2 linked regions of the Neurospora crassa OR74A genome follow. The protein of the gene in region 1 purifies or fractionates together with the protein of each later gene. This does not show direct contact. Links are inferred from orthologs where the notes say so. Each region holds a gene or a part of one and is shown in the gene's direction. Other genes may lie near its edges.

The links.
Region 2: the proteins of NCU01502 (region 1) and NCU06943 purify together in Saccharomyces cerevisiae (affinity purification with mass spectrometry; 5 studies listed by BioGRID). This does not show direct contact. The link is inferred for Neurospora crassa OR74A from reciprocal best matches to the Saccharomyces cerevisiae genes UTP7 and NOP56.

Annotation. Positions count from the first base shown.
Region 1 is NC_026502.1:3,250,748-3,258,110, forward strand, and holds NCU01502 (small nucleolar ribonucleoprotein complex subunit), read left to right. Parts: upstream 1-3,383; 5' UTR 3,384-3,533; coding exon 3,534-3,842; intron 3,843-3,907; coding exon 3,908-5,263; 3' UTR 5,264-5,453; downstream 5,454-7,363. Other genes in the region: NCU01503 (pre-rRNA processing protein Tsr1), read right to left, coding at 403-2,747, 2,915-3,023; NCU01501 (mitochondrial peptidyl-tRNA hydrolase Pth2), read right to left, coding at 5,641-5,966, 6,062-6,728; NCU01500 (nicotinamide riboside kinase 1), read left to right, coding at 7,177-7,322. UniProt on the Saccharomyces cerevisiae protein: Involved in nucleolar processing of pre-18S ribosomal RNA.
Region 2 is NC_026507.1:846,409-854,059, reverse strand, and holds NCU06943 (SIK1), read left to right. Parts: upstream 1-2,743; 5' UTR 2,744-3,318; coding exon 3,319-3,488; intron 3,489-3,673; coding exon 3,674-5,069; 3' UTR 5,070-5,481; downstream 5,482-7,651. Other genes in the region: NCU06944 (hypothetical protein), read right to left, coding at 1-567; NCU06942 (vacuolar protein sorting-associated protein VPS4), read right to left, coding at 5,843-6,064, 6,175-6,625, 6,703-7,355. UniProt on the Saccharomyces cerevisiae protein: Required for 60S ribosomal subunit synthesis.

The DNA of each region.
Region 1 (7,363 bases):
GTTGTTGCCCCAGGTTCAGCTTTGGGGTTTTATCTTGATGACTAACAGGAGATGGAAAACATGGGAGAAGAAAGGGTTTGAGATATGACAGACGACATGCAGTTCAATGGTCTCGAACCTATGTGTAGACTCAAATTGTCATGAGATTTGACACAAACTTAAAGTTGAAATGTCAACAGGCATATCCACACAATCAACGTACAGTTAACTCTGTTATCAAACGAGGCGTGAGGAAAGAATGAATGCATTTCCCTAAATAGTATATGTGACCCGACCAAAGATAAACCAACGAGAGATATCACTCATCTTTTTGTTCCCATCAAACGCCGTTCATTAAGCCCTGTTCTTAACCCTTGACACGCACGTCTAGTCTATTAGCCAAACAGACATGAAATTCTTCCTCTATTCCGCATCCATAGCGTCCTCATCAACCTCCTGCTGGAGCGCCGCGGCATCCAGCAGAGGCGCACCCAGCTGCTTGGCACTCCGGGGCCACACCCTCTTGTACAAGCTGACGCCCACAGAGTCCTGAGGGTTGATGCGCCCGTCAAAGGTAGCCTTGAAGTAACCGTGGGTACCCAGCGCCTCCTTGATGAAACCGCTCCTGCCACGCCTGGTCCACAGAGGCAGAGCCTTGAACCACTCAACGTCCTCCCTGTTGAAGAACATGTAGCGGATGGTGACAATCTTCTTGTGGATGTGGTACGGGTGACCGGTAAGGATGGCACGCTTGGCGACGACGCGCGATGTCGAGGGGGGCAGGGCAGTGCCGGTGGCGACGAGGCTGAGCGGCAGATTGGAGACGGGCTCGCCATCTTCGTCAAGCACGGAGCCCGGCACTTGCCTCTTGAAGAAGAGGGTGGGTACAGCACCCCATGTGACAGGACCCGTAAAAGTAGCGACAGCCGACTGGCCGGGGTGCAGGTACCGGCAGTACTTGTGGACGTCGTTGGGAGTGTTGCCGCCCTGGGAGAAGAGCGGGTTGATGACGAAGCGGCGGGGACCGCACTGTATGATCAACTCCTCCTTGGCCTTGATGGGTGCGGCAGCGTCCGCGCTCAGGTTGATGAGGAAGTTGACAGCAGTCTTCTTGTACTCGTGCCTGAGCAGGGAGAATAGAGTGACGGGCTGGCTGGGGTTGTAGGATTGCTGGATGGTCGCGGGCACGTCCTTAAGGTAAACGTGGACGCGGGTACCAGGAGCAACACCTCCGACAAGGGCTTCCCTAGACGCCCTGATCTTGGAGGCCTGGTAGTCTTGGATCTTCAACAAGCGCTCCCAATCCTCTGGCTGGTATGCGCGGTCCTCATCCTCCTGCCAAGGGCTTGACCTCAAGCTCTTGAGACCTCTGTACTTGGCTAGACGTTCACGAGCAAGAACGTGGGGGTGGAGCTCGATCTCATCAGGGAACTCGAGGTCATCCTGAGCCTCATCCCGCTTTTGCTTGCGGAAAGCCTCTAGTTGCTTGGCATCCTCATCAGCATCAGGTTGGATGAAGCCGCCCTCAGTTTGTGGGTACTCGGTTTGTCCGGCTTCTGTTGGCGCGTAACCAGCAAGACCCTCCTCGCCATCCTCTGGCCTGGCGGCCTCTTCCTCGTCGTCGTCCTCCATCTCATCGTCCTCTTCCATATCTGAGCCGGAATCAGACACATCGTCGTCTAGGTACCACGCAGCCTGGTACTTTGATGTACCCTTGGGAAGCTTCTTTGGCGCAGTATAAGCCTCGGGCTCCTCCTCTGAGAAGTAATGGTGGTCGTCCAACAAAACACCCTTCTTTGAAGTCGTCATTGTGGTCATTCCGTCGTTCATTTCGTCATCGTCGTCGTCCTCCATGCGAACCTCCTCGGGCGCAAGGTCGACAAGATCATCGCGGTCGTCGGTAGGCTGGTCGAGAATCTCCTCAGCGCCCTCCTCCACGTTCATGCCCTCCTCTCCACGTTTCCTCCTGGCCAAGGGAGCTGCTGTGATCTTCTCAACCTGGAAGGTGCCCCAATCGCCAACCTGCACCAGGCGGTCGGCCTTCAAGCCCTTGCCCCTGACGACACCGGTAAGCACGGTAGACTCACCAAACTTGACCTCCTCCACAAGCATCCAACTCCTCTCGTCTCTCCAGCGAATGCCCTTGGGTGTAGTGCTGCATAGCGAGCGCATGAGGTTGGAGCATTCCTGTCTGTTGTCGAGGCTGAAGACCTTATCCTGTTCGGGGTGGAAGTGGGTGATGTAGGACTTGAGAGACGAAAGAACGGAGAGTCTCTGCTTTTGGGGCTCGATCTTGTTGAGGCCCTGGACGACGGTGAAGAGGGTAGAGAGACCCTGGCTTTCAACGCTGCGCAAGATCAGCTCGCCAAGTTCATCGACCTCTTCCTGCGCGGACAAAACGAGAACGACATAGTCGGCGACTCTGGCAGCGTCCAGGCAGGCGGTAAGGTCGCGCTTGAGGGGGAAGTATTGAAGCTTCTGCTTGAATCTGTCGACGGGAACGCGGAATGCGCCCTCGGGCACCTCGGTCTCGATATCAATGCTGGCGTTCAGGCTCTTGATGGCTTCGGTAGCGTCACCGTCGCTGCACAGGGGGATAACGGCCACGTTTCTGGGGGCACCATCCTTGCCGGCGAAAATGGAGGTCTCCTGGAGATGTTCCTTGTGTTTTTGCAGCTGAAGCTGCTTGTTACGGTTGCGACGGTCGAACTTGGACATGACTTGTTGATGGGGGGTCTTGCGCACACCTCTCTCCTCGGCTACCTTGCCTATAGAATGTTGAAAGTATTAGCGCTGTGTGGACGTTGTCGACCTCTTTATATGCAGCTGTATATTCATGTCTGCTTGGGCTTGGTGCGCCAAAGTTGGGTGAAGTAGAGCATAGTCCAAGGCAACAACCTTGGCATGAGGCACGGCTGTTATATGCAATCCGTACCTTTGGCAGCATTCCGGAGAGCACCCTTGGTAGAATGGCGTGACTTGAAGGGCTTGTTCGACGCCTTGGTCGTCGGCCGATGCGAGTGGCCGCTCACGGCGCCGGGCATATTGCTGGAATCGCCGCCTGCTTTGAACCGAAAAGGGAGCGAGTTTGACGCCAGGATGTTGGACCTGGGGAGGCGATGAAGAGAAGAGGCTGGGGGGTTGGGACTGAAAAGAGATTTCGAGAACCTCTCTGGTCACAATCCGTCTATCGAGTATCGAATAAAGTGATGGGGACAATGTCAATGGCGGGGCACTCGTTGCATTTTTTTGAGTTGTGCGAACATGGGCGGCCGTCTCGCTACTTATCTTATCGGACTCTTGTACGCAGTGGAGCCAATGATCGCTGCGGAACAGCTGCCCCATCCAACTTTTTAGTGGGTCCGGCCCCAAAAAAGTTGTCGAGGAAAGGAAACATTCAAAGTGCCAAAGCGAGGGACAGACACGGGCACACCGAGAAACCGCCAGACCAATTCCATATTCAGCCCCCATCCATATCCCGTCGCCGATCCAACTGTCCTAGTCCACCACACATATTACCCATTCCCATTGTGTCGCGTCGACCCATTGGCACCATGGAGACTACAGACAGGGCCGAAATCTCCCTCTCGAGGGCAGAGCAGCCCAGCGGCGCCGTTGCCATCAACAACGTCCGAAGCGAGTTCCGATCAAAGGCCGAGGCCAACAAGATCCGCAAAGTCAAGGCAGCAGAGAAGTCGTACGGCCGTGGTCGCAAGATCGATGTCAAGAACGTCAAGGACAAAAAGCTCAAGCGCAACCTTACCAACCTCGAAGAAAAGTACCAGACGGCCACGCTAAAGGCCAAGGAGGCCGAAATCCTTCTCGAGAATGCCGGCGGTTTCCTCGAGGCTGAACATGAGCTTGTGAGTAGCCATGGCTTGGGAGTTTATAGCCTCTTGCGCGATACTAACCGCGCTGGTCACGATAGGAACGCACATACAAGGTTCGCCAGGAGGACATCGTCAGCGAAGTCAACATTGAGGTCGCCCAGAAAAAGTTCGACTTGAAGCTCGACCAACTAGGCCCTTACATTTGCGATTTTTCGAGGAATGGCCGGGATCTGATTCTGGCAGGACGAAAGGGCCATGTCGCTACGATGGACTGGAGAGACGGCAAGCTGGGCTGTGAGTTGCAGTTGGGAGAGACCATCAGGGACGTCAAGTGGCTACACAACAACCAATACTTTGCCGTCGCTCAGAAGAAGTACACCTACATCTACGACTCGCAGGGCGTCGAGCTCCACTGCCTAAGGAAACACGTCGAAGTCTCCCACCTCGAATTCCTCCCCTACCACTTCCTGCTGGCCACCCTGGGCACAAACGGCCAGCTCAAGTACCAGGACACATCGACCGGTCAGATCGTCACCGAAATCGCAACGAAGCTGGGCACACCCGTTTCCATGACACAAAACCCCTGGAACGCTATCCTCCATGTTGGTCACCAGAACGGCACAGTAACGCTATGGTCGCCCAACTCGTCAGAACCTCTGGTCAAGCTCCTTGCCCACCGTGGTCCCGTACGATCCATGGCTGTCGACCGCGAAGGCCGCTACATGGTGACAACAGGACAGGACTGCAAGATGGCCGTTTGGGATATCCGCATGTTCAAGGAGGTCAACAACTACTTTACCCGGGCGCCCGCTTCGTCCGTCGCCATCTCAGATACCGGCCTTACCGCTGTCGGCTGGGGCACCAGGACAACGGTCTGGAAGGGTCTCTTCTCGAAGGAGAAGCCGGTACAAGAAAAGGTCCAGTCTCCCTACATGACGTGGGGCGGTGAGGGCAAGCGCGTCGAGCGGGTGCGGTGGTGCCCCTTTGACGATGTTCTCGGTGTCGGCCACAGCGAAGGGTTCTCGTCCCTCATCATCCCCGGCGCCGGCGAGGCCAACTTCGACGCCTTGGAAGTCAACCCGTACGAGACCAAGAAGCAGAGACAGGAGGGCGAAGTCAAGCAGCTGCTCAACAAGCTCGCGCCCGAGATGATTGCGCTCGACCCCAACTTTATCGGCACCCTCGATTTGCGGTCGGCGAAGCAGCGGGAGGCGGACAAGGATCTGGACGCCGGGCCGCCGGATCTGGAGGAGGAGATGCGCAACCGGGCCAGAGGCAAGAACAGCGCGCTCAAGAAGTACCTGCGGAAGCAGAAGAAGAAGAACATTATCGACGAGAAGCGGCTCAAGGCCGAGGAGATGTACAAGCAGATGCAGGAGAAGAACGGGGAGAGGCACAAGGAGAAGGTGGCCGAGCTGGGGCCTACGCTGGCCAGGTTTGCGAGGAAAGAGTAGAGCATGAAAATTGGTGGGAGGGGTGGAAGAACAGAGTACATGATGATACCCAGAATCAGTCACTTAATGAAACCAAAGACGGTCAGTCGACCGGATGCTGTGCTGATACTATATTTGTTTACTTGATATGCTTACGTGTATGTGGAGACTCATCTTGTTGCTTGATAATCTATTCAAAAGTAAAAATCAAGACCTACGCCTTACATGCATCAAAGTCTTTACCTGACTGTATCGCTCTCTAAGCCCAATGATACTTTTATACCGTCCCCGTTACGCCATTTTTCGTGCTTCTCGTCCTTCTCTTTGTATCTACGTTCATGCTACCGTCAACATAACACACTTTCTCCATCCTCTCCCCGCTACAAAGTCTTCCCCCTTTACAGCAACTTCAAGTGACCAGTGATCTCATCAACCAAGCTCTTAGGCGCCGGACCAACGCCCAGCACGGTCCTGGACCCAGAGGCAATCTGCGTACGGCCAGCATCCTGAATCACCTCAGCAGTGACGCCCAAGCTGCGCGCCTTGGCCATCAGCTCCAGCATCTCATCCTCGGTCTTGGTTTGCACGGCGATCTTGGCCTGGCCGTTGCGCTCCCACTGACGGAGCAGGCGGGCCGACAGCGACAGGGGCTCGAGCTGGGCGGCAGAGAAAAGGCGCTTGTAGCAGGCGAGGGTGGCGTGGGAGCATTGAGCTGCGATTTTGCCTGTTTGTTTTCCACCACAGCAACACGTCAATAAACCGAAGGTTAAGGGATAAAGTAGAAAAGAGATATCAGAAAAAAAAAAAAAAAAAACATACCCTTGGTCATGCCCAGATCCGTCCTCACAACCAAGACCAACTTGCACTCCTCAGTCGGATCCAGTCCCAACTTGGGCGCCGCCTTCTCCTGCTGCTGCTTCTTCTTCTTTTTCTTCTCCTCAGCGGCAGCAGCACCGCGCGCGCGCAAGCCCTGGCGCTGATCGGCCTCGAGCCCGTTGGCCCAGTTGGGCGCGTGGTCTAGTATGTAATCGTCCTCGTCCACCTCCGACTCCTCGCTCTCGACGGGGTCCTGAAAGTTCCGGCGCCGCTCCTCCTTCAGCTCGGGCGGGATCAGGTAGCCGCGGATGGCGTAGACGCCGAGCACGAAGCCGGTGATGAGCGAGATCATGGAGGTCGAGAGGATGACCATGGAGGGCATGGCGTTTGGAATGTCGGACATTGTGGCGGTTGTGAGGGCGGTGGTGAATTTTTCTGTTTTGGTGGTGAAGGGTCGGCGGTGATGTTGATACGGCGGTGCTTGATGAGGAACTACTACTCGCGGTCTGGAGTTTGTGATGGTGGCAGTAGTTGTTGTGGCGGTCGAGAAAGCGAATCGATAGTTCTTTGTGACACTGACGGAAGCTCGTTGTTGTCTTGGAAAATCTAGACGGACTCGGAGTGCTGCTCCTGCTGCTGTTCGAGTTGGAAGAAGGGGGATGACGTGCATGGGTTGTTGACAGCAGGAAGAAGCCAGCGGAATGGAAAATCCCACAGGGGGGTCAATGTGCTAGAAGGCGCCTAGAACGATATGGAGAGCAGTGGATGTGTCAACAAGCCTTATCGCTTTGGTTGGTTCCGGCAGGCAGGCGATCCCCTACACTAACCCCTGGCTTATACGCGGGGAGGTACGTACCGTTTTGGTTCCTTTCAAGGAAACCACCAATGGCAACAACCCAACGTTGGTTCAGTTGTGAGCACCTCGCCCAAGAATTCCGAACTGAACCACTTCTGTTGACTCTTACAGTTTAGATAACACTCCTACGTAGTCCTCTTCTTTTATTTCTTTTTTCTTGTTTTCTTTATTCAATACTTAAACGGACTCTCTCTCCATGACATAGCATCGCGGCGTCGAACTGGAGCTCAACTACACCTCAACACCTCCACGCTCTTTCACGATGTTGGACCCAAATCAGAAAGCCGTCGTCATCGGAATCAGCGGATGTTCCTCGAGCGGCAAGACGACATTGGCTCGACTTCTCCGCGATATCTTTCCCAATACCTTTATCCTACACGAAGATGATTTCTACAAGCCCGAGTCCGAGTAAGCTCCCTCTCCTCCTCCTAATCTCATCTCACTCGAGA
Region 2 (7,651 bases), on another chromosome or scaffold:
ACAATGGGATGCAAGAGATGGTCGTTCAGAGAAAGAATCGTGGCAAATGGAGCACAAATGCTCCTCGGGTCTGTCGTGATCCCTGAGTTCGTGATCCCTCCACTGGCCGGGACACGCAAACATGGCGTCGCAGAATGTGCAATGATAGCGAGGTGGGTAGTCATCGGTGTTGAAGCCGTCATCGCATTTCCCAGAACTACAAGGTGTTGCAGACATATTAGGATCCGCCGAGTCCACGGAGTGTTGTCGAACCGAATATCGTGAGTATGCCGTCGAGGCAGTTGAGATTCTTAGGCCAGCAGTCGAAAAGATGCTGGGAGCAGCTGAGCTCCGTCTAGATGTCGAGGCAAGCGAGGCGCGGGAGTGTTTGCTGATGAGATCATGATCGTAAGTCGGAAAGTAGTCGGTCTCTTGCCAGATGTTGTCGGTATGTGTCTCGGAATATGGGTTTTCCTTGGATGTAGTAGTCGGCACCTGATACGAAAAAGCATCAATCTCCCCGACGGCATAGCTGGTGAATCCTTCTCTCACACGGTCCACCTTTGGCTGATGGTGATTCAGAGCCATGAAGAGGATTTGGACGGTATTGGGCAGGTGTATGGTTTCTGTTAGACCACAAAGATATAAGCCAAGAGTATCAGTCTGTGCAGAATCCCGTGAGAAGAAGAAGCCAGGAAACGGGTTACCTCCAGATAGACCTTGTTCAAGAAGGGGTCTTGTTCTTATTTATTGAAGCTCTAGGGGTGTCAGATCATGTTTTGTATCCAGATCTATGCTCATTCGACCAATTGATGAAGTGGATTCACGAACTGGCTGCGCACAGGGCTGTGCAAGACCTTGTGGGGGTAGTGAGATCAAGAGGCTCTCAAGCGCCGACGTGATCCGGGTAGAAGTAACCAAGCTATCGGGAGACGGACCGGTTCCTGGAGGAGGCGGTGCTTTCATTTCCTATGCCGGCCTCTAGGGTGACGCGGAGAGACGGTAGTATCATGTCAGAACAAGGCGAAGTCGCGGTCCTTGATGATGGTTTCGTGGGGTGTGCCGGCGCGGAGCTCGTAGACTGGCCATTGTTCCAAGTCCAGGGTAAGTTAGCGAATAGACTAGGCTTGGCAAGGTACGTAAGGATGGGGTTATGTCGTACGGAGATGCCGCTGTATAGCGACGTAACCCGGAGGGCATAAGGCTGAATCAATGGGGACGGATAGACAGACACTGCAGAGTACCTCTTTGACAGTCTCTTGGCTTGGAAGGTCGGTGTAGATGGAAGCTCATCGCAGCTGCGCACTGTTCAGGCCTCGACTGGGGCATCCAATGGCGTCTAGGAGATGGTGGAGGGTAGTATCAGCGCTGTTCCTTGTGCATGTCGAGTACCGATTTGATATATTGGTCAGATAGGTCGGGTACATATTCTCGTTCACAGCTCCACGACACGTTTGCTTGGTTGATGTTGATGCCCCTAATTCGAAAGCCACGGATCTCGCGCTTCGAGCTACATGAGCTACGTATGAGCGTGAGGCAAGCTGCTCGCCCGAAGAGCCATCATGATACAAACGACGGAAACAAATCACCACGCCAAATACCACCATGGACTTGGCATCACTTGAACTGTCGGAAGAGACTGGATCGACTGAGGTACTGTGTAGTATCGTGATGGTGTCGTCGACGCTGCGAGACCCAAAATGGAAATGATAGGTACACAGCGGCACCACATCCATGCAACGGGCCGGAATGGTGCGCCATCGAAACCCGTACGCTTCTGATGCGCTGAAGAACGGGAGCATTGGGGCAATTTGGGGGTGTCGTGCATGCTGTAGGGCTCTTCCGCCACTGTACATACTGTATCATCCCTCGAAGACCCGGAGTTGGTGTCGCTGATTGGATGTCCGGCTGGACGGAACCGTTTCACGACCAATCCCGCAGAAGCCAGAGAAGGCATTCCCAGATTGCGACGCCTGTGATCATCCAGACAACGGCCATTATAGGATGTGAAACCGATGATGAGCGACATGCTTTGAACACAATGGAATAATCAAAGCATCCCAAGTCTTGTCTTGTTGTTGTTGTTGTTGTTTCTGCCACGCCCTGACGAGAACATCAACGTCGTAGTAGACGATGCGTTGAATGTCCTGAGACCGGGCAGTCGATAATGCTGGCCTGAGTCATCGGGCGGTCCGGTCACTTCAGTTGGTAATCCCTTCATGGACGCCGGGTCTTGCTTGGGAATGCGAAGCGGTCGACACTTGTGACAACCCAAGTCCGAGGTGGGCATGTTGACATGAGGTGGCAGAGGGGAGCCCGAAAGAGAGAACTGAAGTACACCAGTTTGTGAGGCGAGAAGCGAGAGAACCCGTGACCAACGCCTTCACATTTCTCGATCTGACTGCATATCGTGTCTCGTGTGAGCAGACATGACGCCAACAAACAACATGGGATGGCATGTGTCTCGGTCGACGACAAAGGAGTATGTGTTTGCATATTGGCACGAAAACGACCGAATAAGTAAGGGGATTGTGGCATTGCCGCAATGGAAAGAAGAACAAGGATTCATCATGAATCATCCGTCTCGCTGCTTTCCGAATGGAAATGGAAAACCGTAAAAGGATCGATGAAGGACGGACTGTTACCGACACCGCCAAACAGTCCAAGCCTCAATCTCTCCCATTGTGCAGGTCAGACATGCAGATCGAGCCCATAGGGCTGATGTGAGTGAGGGAACTCGACCATTGGCCAAATGATATGCGATCTGGTTGAGTTCGATGCAAAGAGTCAGTCAGGTGTGGTGAGTGGGTGTGGGTGAATGGGGCAGCAAAATGTCCCGTGTCAGTGTGGGAGGTAGGACGACGACGAGGACCCGACTGTCAGACAGACAAGAGGCCAGGCACACGGACAGCTGTCGCTCAGCTGGCAAGACTCTTCTTATCCGAATTCTTATCGACACGAAAATCCAAAGGAGTTTCGCACAATTGCTGCTGCCATTGGTTGCTAAGCCTTCCCAGCTTACAGCGCTCCAACGGGCCAATGGGGTGGCCAATGCGGCGTGAATTGGGGTAGGCAGAATCCCCACCCCGCATGGCTGTGGCCCGTGCTTCGTCCTGAGCTTGCCGCAAAAATTTCGAAAAAACTTGTCCAGGGCAAAAGTGGCAGAGCAAAAAAATATCCAAACACAGCGCCGTTCTGATTCCCGGAGACCGAAGACTGAGTTCATGCACCGGTGGCATTGAACGACGCCCAATTGCGCACAACACTCCAATCCCAGCGCACCCGGTTACCCAGTCACCCATCAATCCAGAGTCATCATACGACAACATCACCGCTAAGATGGCCAACGTCAACTATCTTCTGTTCGAAAGCGCGGTCGGCTTCTCGCTCTTCGAGGTCGTCCACCAGGCCGACACTGTCGGCTTGGAGCTGCCCGAGGTCAAGGATGCCATGAAGGATCTCGACAAGTTCGGCAAGATGGTGAAGCTCCGCAGCTTCAACCCTTGGAAGTAGGTGGCCAGAAGCAAAAGCATTGTGTGGTTTTGGAGTTGGTGTTTCGGGTTGAGGTGGTTGTGGTGATTTCATGGTCATGTGGTGGTGGTGGTGGTGGTGGTGATGATGTTGGGAGGGACAGAAACATTGTGTGAATTGCTTGTCTTGGCTGAACCATAAACTAACGTTCCTTAACCTCCAGCTCTGCCGCCCACGGTCTCGAGGCCATCAACCTCATCTCCGAGGGTATCATGCCCGACCACCTCAAGAACACCCTCGAACTCAACCTCCCCCAGACCAGCGGAAAGAAGAGCAAGATCGTCCTCGGTGTCGTCGACAAGAGGCTCGCTGGTGAAATTAGCGGAAACTTCCCCGGTATTCAGTGCGAGGCTGCCGATACCTCCGAGGTCGTCGCTGCCCTCCTTCGCGGCATCCGCACCCACGCCGGCAAGCTCCTCAAGGGCCTCCAGGACGGTGACATCAACCGCGCCCAGCTCGGTCTCGGTCACGCCTACTCCCGCGCCAAGGTCAAGTTCTCCGTCCACAAGAACGACAACCACATCATCCAGGGTATCGCGACCCTCGATGCCCTCGACAAGGGTATCAACTCCGGCGCCATGCGCGTGAGGGAGTGGTACGGCTGGCACTTCCCTGAGCTTATTCGCATCGTCTCCGACAACGGCACCTACGCCAAGGTCGTTCTCGCTGTCGGCAACAAGAAGTCTCTCAGCGACGAGTCCCTCGACGAGCTCGCCAACGTCCTTAACCAGGACGAGGACAAGGCCAAGGCCATCATCCAGGCCGCCAAGGTCTCCATGGGTCAGGACATCAGCGATATGGATCTCAACATGGTCAAGGACCTCGCGGACAACGTCTCCAAGATGGCCGACTACCGCCGCATCCTCGCCGAGTCGCTCGACAAGAAGATGGGCGAGGTCGCTCCTAACCTGCAGGTCATCCTCGGCACCCCCGTTGCCGCCCGCCTCATCTCGCACGCCGGCTCCCTCACCAACCTCGCCAAGTACCCCGCTTCTACCCTCCAGATCCTCGGTGCCGAGAAGGCCCTCTTCCGCGCTCTCAAGACCAAGGGCGCCACCCCCAAGTACGGTCTCCTCTACCAGAGCACCTTCATTGGCCGCGCCGGTCCCAAGGTCAAGGGTCGCATCTCCCGCTACCTCGCCAACAAGTGCTCCATTGCCTCCCGTATCGACAACTTCTCTGAGAACCCCACTAAGCGCTTTGGTGAGGTTATGCGTGAGCAGCTTGAGCAGCGTCTGGAGTGGTACGCCAAGGGCATCAAGCCCATGAAGAACACCGAGGCCATGGACAAGGCCATCAAGCTCGTCATGGACGACGAGGGTGACATGGACATTGACACCGAGATGGTCGACTCGCACACCGCCACCCACGCCGCCGACTCCAAGAAGGACAAGAAGGAGAAGAAGGACAAGAAGAAGGACAAGGAGGAGAAGAAGGAGAAGAAGGACAAGAAGGACAAGAAGAGGAAAGCGACTAGCGAAGACGTCGAGATGGTAGACGCCCCCGACGCTGCGGAACCCGAGAAGAAGAAGAAGAAGAAGAAGTCGAAGTCTGAGTAAAAAGACCGAAAGAAAAAGAGCCAAAAAGCAGCGTCACCACTTGTGTCTTTTTCACGATTTTTACTTTTTTTCTTCGTCATCTTGTTTAGAGCTTCTCGTCGCGTTTTTTGGCACGTCGTTCTTGTTGGTTCGCTCTGTTGTCGTTGTTATCCTCGGGAGTTTCTTATAATGTATGGGGTATGGGTCAAATCTGGTACAAAGGAGTTTTACGGGTCTACTTGTTTCTTGCAAGAATCATAAATAGTTCGTCGTTGTCGTCATTCACATCTCTTGCCATCTACGACTGATCATAGAGGGGTAGCGCAAAAAAGTTGAAAAGGATGTGCGTGTGTACTAGCATCATACCCATGGAGCATCATATGGCGGCGATATGGGTAAAAACAAAGGCTCATTAAACGAAACGGAACGTACGTCTAAAAGTACCTGGTTGATGTGAAGTGTCATGAATCTATGTACTCTTCCAATATCGCATGATTGCAAAACGCCCATCGACACTCCATCTTCCCCTGATTTTCTCGCTAGAATAATATCGTCATCATCAAGTCTTCGTAGTAAACATGTGCCTTGCCGCATGCAATGTGCTGCCAAGATAGAAAAAGGGGCTTGCAAGACTCTTAACCCCAAAGTAAAAAGTACCTAAAACATCCAGATACCCGCCGCCCTCTGTATACCACTCCTTCGCTTTCCATGGGAGAAACACCAAAGAACAAGAATAAACCGCACGGAACGAACCATTGACCACACCCGCCCCCCACACTGTGGCAGGCATCTCTCTACGCACCCTCACTACCAAACTCCTTTGTCCATTCCTCATTCCTCTTGAGATCCTCGCCCGACACAGTCGGCCTGCTGGCCTTGATGGCCTTGATAAAGTCCTTCTTGTCGACAAATGGTTCGAGCAGCTCGTCCGAGGGTACCTGCTCCCACGTCATTTCGATGGCGTCCGGATCGCCTGGCGAGCAGGGCGTGAGCATTTGTTTGCCTTCGTGGACGACCTGTTTTTTGTAGTAACAAAAGTTAACAATCTCGCATCATGAATAGAGGTAGAAGTAGGGGTTGAGGGTCAGGGATGGGAGAGAAAAGAGAAAAACAAAAAAGAACGAACCTTTTTGAAATGCGTAGCCTGCTGAATCTTCCTCACCGGTTGCATCAACGCATCCTGCACAACAATACTGATATCCGAACCCGAATAACCCTCCGCCGCGCGCGCCAGCTCGCGGAAGTCTTCCGCCTTGAGCGCCGTGTGGGTGTCGCCCACAGCCAGCCGGAACATGGTGGTGCGCGCCGCCAGGTCCGGCAGAGTGATGTGCACGCGGCGCTGGAAGCGGCGACGGATAGCAGCATCCAGCTGCCAGGGGATGTTGGTGGCGCCCAGGATCAGCACGCCCTTGCTGTCTTTGCCGACACCGTCCATTTGGACCAAAAGTTCGGTTTTTATCCTGCGCGAGGCTTCCGACTCGCCTTCACCGCGCGGACCGCAGAGGGCGTCGATCTCGTCGATGAAGATAATGGAGGGCTTGTTTTCTCGGGCCATGGCGAAGAGTTGCTTTACTAGACTGTTTTTTGTTGGAAAATCGTTAGCTTCTCAGTCACGATAGTGGCATAAGGACAGAGACAACAGGACAAAACATACCGTTCACTCTCACCCATCCACTTGCTCACCAAATCCGAGCTGCTCACGCTGAAGAACGTGCTCTTCGCCTCTGTCGCCACTGCCTTGGCCAAATAACTCTTTCCTGTTCCCGGTGGGCCATACAGCAAAATACCCTTCCACGGCTGCCTCTTCCCCTGGAACAGATGCGGGAACTTGATTGGCAACAAGACCGCCTCCTTGAGGGCCTCCTTGGCACCCTCTAGACCAGCCACATCATCCCAGCTGATGTTCGGCCGTTCCTGCAGAATCGCGCCCGCCAACGCACTTCTCAGCTTCTTGCTATCCTCATCCAACGCTTCTCCATTGCCATTACCGTCCTCCCCGGCCTCCTTCCCCTTCCCCGTCCCGCCCGTCGAACCCCCGTTCGCGCCCACCATCCCGGGCTTCTTCCGCTTCGCTTCCGCGTCCGCCAGGTGCGCTTTGAGCTTCTCGGCCCGGTCCATGTACTCGCCCGTCTTGGCCCGGATCATCTCCTTGGATTTCGGGTTCTTCTCCCATTTTAGGGCGAGCATGAAGAGTTCGAGCGATTGGTAGTACAGCTGGTAGGCTTTGTCGTACTGGGCGGCGTTGTCGGCTTCGATGGCTTTGCGCACTTGCTCGATGGCGCGGCCGAGGAAGTCGGTATTGGACATTTTGTGCGGCGGCGGCTCGAAGCGTGTAAAGTGATGTCGCGTGAATTCGTGGTTTAGTCGAGTGTAGGATTGGTCGCTCTTCTTGGTACGCCGTAGTAAGCGTTTGTAGTCGTTATACTTGTTTGCTTCTTCGCTCGGACAAGGAGAGTTTGTTGATATTCGCGCGCCGAGGTTCGAAGTCAATGTCAACAGATGGCCATATGCGAGGGAGGAGACCCGTTGATGACGACTGCTGTTGTCCTAGGCTACGGCAACGAGAGTGGCAGAGATAAGGTGAAGAGAAATCGGGAATTGGT